Linked DNA regions of Coturnix japonica. The protein of the gene in region 1 binds, or shares a complex with, the protein of each later gene. Links are inferred from orthologs where the notes say so. Each region holds a gene or a part of one and is shown on either strand. Other genes may lie near its edges.

Region 1 (4,137 bases):
CACCTGCAATCTTCTACATGTAAAGAGAGAGATGAGGCTTAGTTAGTGCTCCTGTCTTCCAGGCTCTCCACCCTGAGAGACATAACGAGCATCTTGGAGACTTTTATCACCCGAGGAGCATCTGCAAGGCCACTGCTGACAGAAGCCACACAGAACAGACTGTGATGAGTCAGAGTGGTGTTCAACAGGATGCAGAAATGGGCAAAGTGAGGTCTAGAGTTCTACAACTGTACCAGCGTTAAGGGTAGCAGGAAGGTAAAGGCAGCGCTGGCACAGGCTGTGCAGGGCAGCGGTCACAGCAGTGAGCTGGCTGGAGTTGAAGAAGCATCCGGACAATGATCTCAGCTATATGGTCTGATTTATGGGTGGTGCTGTATGGAGCCAGGTGAGCCTTATGAGTCCCTTCCAACTCAGGATGTTCTATGATTACAATTCTATGAGAATGGGGTTTGGAACAACCATAGGAAAGGGTTTACTGATACTTTGAGGGAGGTGAACATCTAACAGACTTGGATCCTTAATAACAGGCTAATTACATCTGAGGGGTCTCTGTGGAACAGTCACTCAGGCTGTGGGGTCTGGTTCAGTGAGAGAGAACTCACCTGTGGGAAACTGATCATCTTGACGGGCACCATGGACTCCAGCAACCTGCATTACGGCACAGCGGGGAACGACATCAGGACAGTCATTAAGAAGCAACAGATCCCGTGCACCCGCTGCCCTGCCCACCTGGTGCGCACTTGGACGGGCTCCACGTCGAAGTATGGCCGCAGGATGTCGATGTTGGCGTAGAGGCTGAACGCTTTGGACGCCTGTCGCTTCCCCACCTGCCACATCTGCGGACAGAACGGTACGTGCAGCGGCGGGGCCGGGGCCGGCGGGGCTGTTGGCGGCTCGTGAGCCCACTCACCTGGTCGGCCACCTGCCGGCCCAGCTGCCCCTGCAGCCCCTTCATGCCCAGGAACTCGCCGTCCTCTTCCCCGCCGGCCCCCGCCTCGCCCTCCGCCTCCTCGTCCTCCTCCTCCTTCATGCGCTGGTGCATCTCCCCCATGTCCTCGAAGCTGGAGCCCGACGTGTCGTCCATGTTCTCCATGTCGATGACGGCCGAGCCGCCGCCCTGCTCCGATGCACGGATCGTCAGCGCCCGCTCGGGCCCCTCTGTCCCCCCCCCCGCGGGCCGGCCCCACCTGCACGTTGTCCTCAAAGCCGCCCCACTCGGCGGTGCCGCTCCTGCCGCCCGCCGCGGCCATAGCGCCGGTAACGGGGGACGGCAACGCGGATGTGACGGTCCGGCCGCTCCGTGTCTCGCGAGAGCCGTCAGTTCCGCATGGCCGCCTTACGTGCGGCGGGGCGGGGCGGCGGCGCGTCCTTCCGTCGGCGATGGCGGCCCGGCGCGGCACGGACGAGATGCGGGAGCGCGTGGTGCTGGGCGAGTTCGGCGTCCGCAACGTGCGTGGGGCGGCGGGACGCGGGGCGGCTCCCGCATCACCCCCCGCTGCCTCACGGGCTGCGCCCCCCGCAGGTCCACACCACTGACTTCCCAGGCAACTACCCCGGGTACGACGACGCGTGGGACCAGCGGCGCTTCGAGGAGGTGAGTGGGAGCTGATGGAGATGATGGAGCTGATGGAGCTGCTGCTGCGGGGCCCCTTGTTCGGCTCCGTCGTGACGCGGCGCGGTTCCCGAGCAGGGGTTCCGCGTGGACGTGGTGCGGGAGGAGGACGGCGTGCTCGAGTTCGACATGGTGGGCATCGACGCGGCCATCGCCAACGCGTTCCGCCGCATCCTGCTCGCTGAGGTACCGCGGGGCTGGGAGACATGACGAGTGGATGGTCCCCGTGCGGTGCCCTGCTTGGCGGCTTATCGCCTCGCTCTGTCGTCCCCCCGAGGTGCCGACCATGGCTGTGGAAAAGGTGTTTGTGTACAACAACACGTCCATCGTGCAGGACGAGATCCTGGCGCACCGACTGGGCCTTATCCCCATCCGGGCCGACCCGCGGCTCTTTGAGTACAGGAATCAAGGTGAGGGGCTCGGGTCGAACAGCGGTGGGGAGGGTGGAGCCCATAACCAGGAGCTGGGGTCACACCGTAGGATCATGAAGGCCATCAGGTCCAACGATCCCACAACATACAGGGACTCCTACATCTGACCAGGTGCTCAGAGTCCTGCCCAGCCTGGCCTTGTAAGTCTGCAAGGACAGGGCATCAGCCGCATCTCTGGGCAGCCTGTTCCAGTGCCTCACCACCCTCATTTTCACCACTCTCACTCAGTAATAGACTTTTTCTTTATCTCTAAAGTAAATCTACCCTCTTTAAGCCTCAAACCGTTTCCCCTTCTCCTATCACAGCAGACCCTGCTGTAGAGTCTGTCCCTTTCTTTCTTGCATGCTCTTCCTAGGTGCAGAAAGGCCGCTTCCAGGTCTCCCTGCAGCTTTCTCTTCTCTAGGCTGAGCAGCCCCAGCTCTCAACCCATCCTCGTAGGAGAGATGTTCCATCACTGGGTCATTCATGTGTCCCTCCCCTGGATACACTTCAACAAAGCAGAATTCACTTCCATAAAGATACTGTTTTGCCATTTCCAGGAGATGAAGAGGGGACGGAAATTGATACTCTGCAGTTCCAGCTGAAAATAAAATGCAGCCGGAATCCTCAGGCAGCCAAGGAATCGTCTGACCCAAACGAGCTGTATTTCAATCACAAAGGTGAGAGCTCCTTGTGCCTGCCCTAAAAGTAGGTGCAGCTTTCTGCTTTTTCTCTTGTTCATTTTCTTCTTTCTCTCTCTTGGTGTTTTGCCTTGTGAGCAGAGACAGCTCATTTCCTCACAGTATACATAGCTTGCTTGTGCCATCTCCTATTCAGGTCAGCAACCTGTTTTCTGAGGCAGCAGCTGGCTGATGCTCGTGGTTTCTTTTGGCAGTGTACAGTAAGCACATGACATGGGTTCCCTTGGGGAATCAGACAGACCTCTTTCCGGATGCTGACTTCCGACCTGTCCACGACGACATCCTTATAGCACTGTTGAGACCTGGGCAGGAAATAGATGTGCTCATGCACTGCGTCAAGGGTGTAGGTGAGTGCTGGGTCTGAGCTGGGGAGTGGGTGTGCTGGTGCTTGGACTCGAGCACAGCTGTGTGATGGGAAACACTGGAGAACTAGCTTGACCCCAAGGCCTGTCCTCATCCTTAATTCTGAACTCTTTGTGCAGGTAAAGATCATGCCAAGTTTTCTCCTGTGGCCACAGCTAGTTATCGACTGCTTCCTGACATCACTCTCCTGCAGCCTATCGAGGATGAGGCAGCCGAGACGTTACAGAAGTGCTTTTCCCCTGGAGTCATTGAGATCCAGAACGTCAAGGGTACTTTCTTTCCAGCTGTAAAGTGCCTCGTTCCTAACAAGTCTTAGCAGTGACTGAATAGAGACAGTAGAGATTGTAGTCAAACCTTGTTGGGAAAATAACACATTGCGATGTTGTCTTGCTGATCAACAACAGTTGGTGCTGTTTTGAGCCTGGTTGTAGTGGCTGAGTGGCTGTCACACACAAATGTTTTTAGCAGTGAACTGAGATCTCCCTGAAATGCTTATGTGTTGCATGCCTGTCTGTAGAGCCCTGTGCTACTGTTAGGTGTCTGGGTAGCGAGCTTGCTCTTTGTAACAGCTGAGCACGGGGAGGACTTGTGTCCTGCCCAGGAGCACATACAGGCTTTGTGTTTGGCTTAGAACTGTTCGAGGAAATGAATTCTGCCAAGCTGGAGTTTCATGTTAGGGATGTGCTAATTATATGTGGCTTTGCTGCCTCTGCTGCTTGAGGGGTAAGTACTTTTTGTGACCCCAAGGTGCTCATCTGCTGCCGGTGCCCACCTTGTTTTGTCTTCTCCTTTTAGGAAAGAAGGTGGCAAGAGTAGCCAACGCACGGTTGGACACGTTCAGCAGGGAAGTCTTCCGACACGAGGGTCTGAAAAACCTGGTGCGCCTGGCCAGGGTGCGAAATCATTACATCTGTAAGTAGCCTGTTTTGTGCAGAGCAGAGTGCCCAGCCCGATTCTGCTTTGTACAAACAAGCAGGGGCTGGCCAGTGTGCATACCTTGGTCTCAGTCTTTCCCTTCTACTTGGCATCGTTATTCTTCCTATGTTTGTAT
Region 2 (4,221 bases), on another chromosome or scaffold:
ACAGTGAAGAACAGCAAAGAATACAAACCTTTATTAAAAATAAGATCTGAGAGAACAGGGCAGCAAAAGCCTCTTCCTGCTCATTTCTTCCCTGTGTCATTCAGTTGCTTCGAGGTGTTTTCATGGCGTTCCTGATTGAAGCAGAAGGATTTGCAGCAAAATCCGTGCTGGGAAATGAGGAACTGGGACAAGGAAAACAACTGCAGGGGGGCAGCAGGGACAGAGAACTTCCTCAGCCATCGAATGCAGACAGCTGAGAGCTGGTGGTGGGTGGGAAGATCAGATGTCACAGAATTCTTTCACAACTGGAAGAAATAAGTCAGGACGTGAATGAGCTCATGTCTCCCTCAGCAGCTGCTCTCAAAGCAAAGCCCTGCTGCTGCTCTGAACATTGAGATGTGCCTTCAGCTGTGATACTGAGGCACCAAACCCTAGTATAGCTTTGCTCTGATCCATCCCATACAGTTCCCTTCGCAAATCAGGAGGGAATCCTTTCCCAGAGCCAACTCACTTCAAGTCACCCCTAGAAAACCACAGCATAAGTTTAAAGCACTGCCCGTAGATGGGGATCTCACACATTACCTGAGAGCTCTGATCACTGCACCAGCCTGTAGGTGATGTAACGGCCTGCGGTCTCACTCGGTCTTATGATCTTCACCACCTGGAAGGGCAGCAAAAGGAGCAATGGGGGATGGCTGGTGTTACAGCAGCTGGTTCAGCAGGAAGCCAAGCCTGGCCCCAGGGCTATCTGCTGCCTTGCACACATCTCTACATAACCCATAACGTTCAGAAACAAAAACACTAACAAAGAGGAAACCTTTCCCATCTCCAAGCTCTGACACACTGTGCTGCAGCTCCCCATCCTGCCTGCAGGGCCCTGCTGTTTGTTATCAGGCTATTTGCTCTTACCTGGCCTCGCTTTATCCCGAAGTATCGGGCCACAGGATCCCCAGCCTGGATCCTGGGGAGTTGGTTCTCCCTCAGCTTACTGCATGGAGTCAAGGAGGAGCTCTGTGTCTGCTTGTCCTGAGGCAGGGCACAGCTAACAGAACATCACACACTCAAAGGAATCCATTTCTTGCCCAAGACAAGCACTCATCACACCCTGACTGCAAGGGAAGGACCAAACAAAGGATACTATCTGGCCAGCAGCTCGGTTACTTCTTCTTTTGTCATGACAACGTGCTCTGGGACCAGCTGTAAACAGGAGAGAGAAAGAGAGATCATAAGAGTCTGAGAAAGCAACCAGCTCTGCATAGCTGCAAGACTTGGGGGGAGGAACAAAGCTCTGGTGGGGAAACCCAGCACAGGGCAGGGCTGGGAGGGCCGGCCTGAATCACTCACCTCGTGTTCTGTGATGTTGATCAGGAGCTCCTGCTGTAAGAACTGCTCCAGGATGTATTTGGGAGCCATATCGACCAAGGACTGGGAAGGGAGAAGCACATCAGGTTGTAGCACTGATATGAGACAGTGTGAGCTCAGAGATGCCCCAAGATGAACAGCAGCAGGAGGGCAACACGGTGTCTGTGCTCACATTGATATGGTCATATGGGCAGAGAGGAAACAGATCTCTGTGCCCAACCAGCACCAGCTCAGTGCACTCAATGTATAAGCCCAGTATTAAGGCACAGAGCCTGAACTCTGCCTTTATGGACCCAGCACAGCTCAAAGAGCCCCGGGGCCACATCACACTGTACCTGCTTTGCCGATGGGGTCATTCCCTGCTGCACCACGATCAGAGCCCGCGTGATGTTCTCCTCCTGCATGCGCTGGCAATACATCTTGATGGTTTTAATGCCGACTTTGGGTTCCTCTGAGGGAGGAAAAGAGCAGGGTGAGATTGAACCAGGAGCACCACCAGACCCCAACCTGACCCCAGCCCAGTTCTAACCTGGTCCCAGCCCAGTACTAACCCGGTCCCAGCTCGGTTCTAAGCCAGTCCCAGCCCAGTCCCAACCCAGTTCTAACCCGGTTCCAGCCCGGTCCTAACCCGGTCCCAGCCCGGTTCTAAGCTGGTCCCAACCTGGTCCAAACCTGGTCCCAGCCCGGTTCTAACCCAGTCCCAACCCGGTTCTAACCCGGTCCCAGCCCGGTCCTAACCTGGTTCTAACCCAGTTCTAACCCGGTCCCAGCCCGGTTCTAACCCGGTCCCTACCTGGTCCTAACGCGGTCCCAGCCCAGTTCTAACCCAGTCCTAACCCGGTCCCAACCTCGTTCTGACCCGGTCCCAGCCCGGTTCTAACCCAATTCTAACCTGATCCTAACCCGGTTCCAACCTGGTTCTAAGCCGGTCCCAGCCCAGTCCCAACCCAGTTCTAACCTGGTTCCAGCCCGGTTCTAAGCTGGTCCCAACCTGGTCCAAACCCGGTCCCAGCCCGGTTCTAACCCAGACCCAGCCCAGTCCCAACCCGGTCCTAACCTGGTCCTAACCCAGTTCTAACCCAGTCCCAACCCGGTCCCAGCCCGTTTCTGACCCGGTTCCGACCCGGCCCCGTTTCTCACCGGGGAAGAACACGAACATCTGGTCCGTGGGATCATCGTTATGTGCCACCAACACGGTCAGGTCCGTTCGGCGCGGGCGGCCTTCGCTGGGTTTATCCCCGAACTGAGCTTTAAACTCCTCCAACGTCTGATCCAACTCGTCCTGAGTCACCAGGTAACCGCGGTCATGGCACAGCTAAAGGGAAATACAACATATGAGACCTGAAACCGGACCGAATCGAACCGAACCGAACCGGGCCGGCCCGCACCTGCATGATGGTCTTGCGGATCTTCCACAGCCGGTACGTCTCCTCCTCGTCGTCCATGTTGCCTCCTGAAGGACCCCACGAGGCTGCCCGCCTCAATGCCTGTCCACAACGAGCAGGCGGGGCTGCCCTGCGAGGGGTCCTTGACCGCGGGGAACGCTGGGAGATGTAGGCGGGGTGGAATGGCGGAAGGACACCACCCCCTTGTTGACACTGCAGCAGCCTCGCTGATTTGATTGGTGGTTTCGCCTGTCTATCACCCAAGGGAGCGGCTCGCATTGCGCAACTGCAAGAAGTGGGCGGTGCCTTCGCGCGTCCTAATCGCTGATTGGTCAAAGGGGGGGAGAGCGGTGGCGGGATGGGGTGGGGGTGGCGTTGCGGGCGGGCGCTGCTGTGCGGGGCGGCGGCGGCGAGAGGAGCGGGGCGGACAATGGTGAGTGGGGGGGGACAGAACAGAACCGAACCGAACCGAACCGGGTCGGTACTGGGGGGGTTGGGGGGGTTCGGAGCCGCTTTGTGACCGCTGGGCCCCGCAGTGCGCGCAGGCGGATGAATGGCGATCGGCCACCTCCATCTATGACTTCCACGCCACGGATATCGACGGCCGAGACGTGGCCTTGGAGCAATACAGGTCTATTAGATATATATATTATATAGACATTATATAGACATTATAGAGACATTATATGTACCATACAGCAACACAGCAATGGGCTGTATTATATACCCCCCCCCCCATTTTACCCCCGCAGAGGTTCCTTTTACCCCCTATTTTACCCCATTTTACCCCATTTTTACCCCCTATTTCACCCCTTTTACCCCCTATTTTACCCCATATTACCCCATATTTTACCCCATATTACCCCTTTTACCCCCACAGAGGTTCCTTTTACCCCCTATTTCACCCCCTTTACCCCCTATTTTCCCCATATTACCCCCACAGAGATTCCTTTTACCCCATTTACCCCCACAGAGGTTCCTTTTACCCCCTATTCTACCCCATTTACCCCCACAGAGGTTTCTTTTACCCCCTATTTTACCCCATTTACCCCCACAGAGGTTCCTTTTACCCCCTATTTTACCCCATTTACCCCCACAGAGGTTCCTTTTACCCCCTATTTTACCCCTCCAGGGGTTTCGTCTGCATCATCACCAACGTGGCTTCCAAATGAGGAAAGACTGCAGTGAATTACACTCAGCTTGTCGACCTGCACGCACGATACGCTGAGAAAGGGCTGCGCATATTGGCCTTCCCATGTAACCAGTTTGGGAAGCAGGTGGGCACCTCAATGCAAAGATATGGGGTTGTGTGGGGTTTACACGTGTGATACCTGTTTTTCCCCCCCCCCAGGAGCCTGGGGATGATGCACAGATCAAAGCCTTTGCGGAGGGTTACGGGGTGAAGTTCGATATGTTCAGTAAAATTGAGGTCAATGGGGACGGCGCCCACCCGCTGTGGAAGTGGATGAAGGAG

What was found.
Region 2: POLR1C (region 1) and POLR2E share a complex: the UniProt entries of both Homo sapiens proteins name them as parts of the pol I pre-initiation complex. The link is inferred for Coturnix japonica from reciprocal best matches to the Homo sapiens genes POLR1C and POLR2E.

The regions. Positions count from the first base shown.
Region 1 is NC_029518.1:27,798,784-27,802,920, reverse strand, and holds the start of POLR1C (DNA-directed RNA polymerases I and III subunit RPAC1), read left to right. Parts: upstream 1-1,337; 5' UTR 1,338-1,380; coding exon 1,381-1,449; intron 1,450-1,522; coding exon 1,523-1,594; intron 1,595-1,690; coding exon 1,691-1,798; intron 1,799-1,889; coding exon 1,890-2,022; intron 2,023-2,582; coding exon 2,583-2,702; intron 2,703-2,917; coding exon 2,918-3,070; intron 3,071-3,205; coding exon 3,206-3,355; intron 3,356-3,881; coding exon 3,882-3,998; intron 3,999-4,137. Other genes in the region: protein YIPF3, read right to left, coding at 1-13, 603-648, 730-836, 911-1,117, 1,188-1,250. UniProt on the Homo sapiens protein: DNA-dependent RNA polymerase catalyzes the transcription of DNA into RNA using the four ribonucleoside triphosphates as substrates.
Region 2 is NC_029543.1:2,008,944-2,013,164, forward strand, and holds POLR2E (DNA-directed RNA polymerases I, II, and III subunit RPABC1), read right to left. Parts: upstream 2,887-4,221; 5' UTR 2,808-2,886; coding exon 2,751-2,807; intron 2,678-2,750; coding exon 2,503-2,677; intron 1,814-2,502; coding exon 1,698-1,813; intron 1,426-1,697; coding exon 1,345-1,425; intron 1,198-1,344; coding exon 1,139-1,197; intron 989-1,138; coding exon 910-988; exon of another isoform or gene 662-909; coding exon 596-661; 3' UTR 583-595; intron 306-582; 3' UTR 9-305; downstream 1-8. UniProt on the Homo sapiens protein: DNA-dependent RNA polymerase catalyzes the transcription of DNA into RNA using the four ribonucleoside triphosphates as substrates.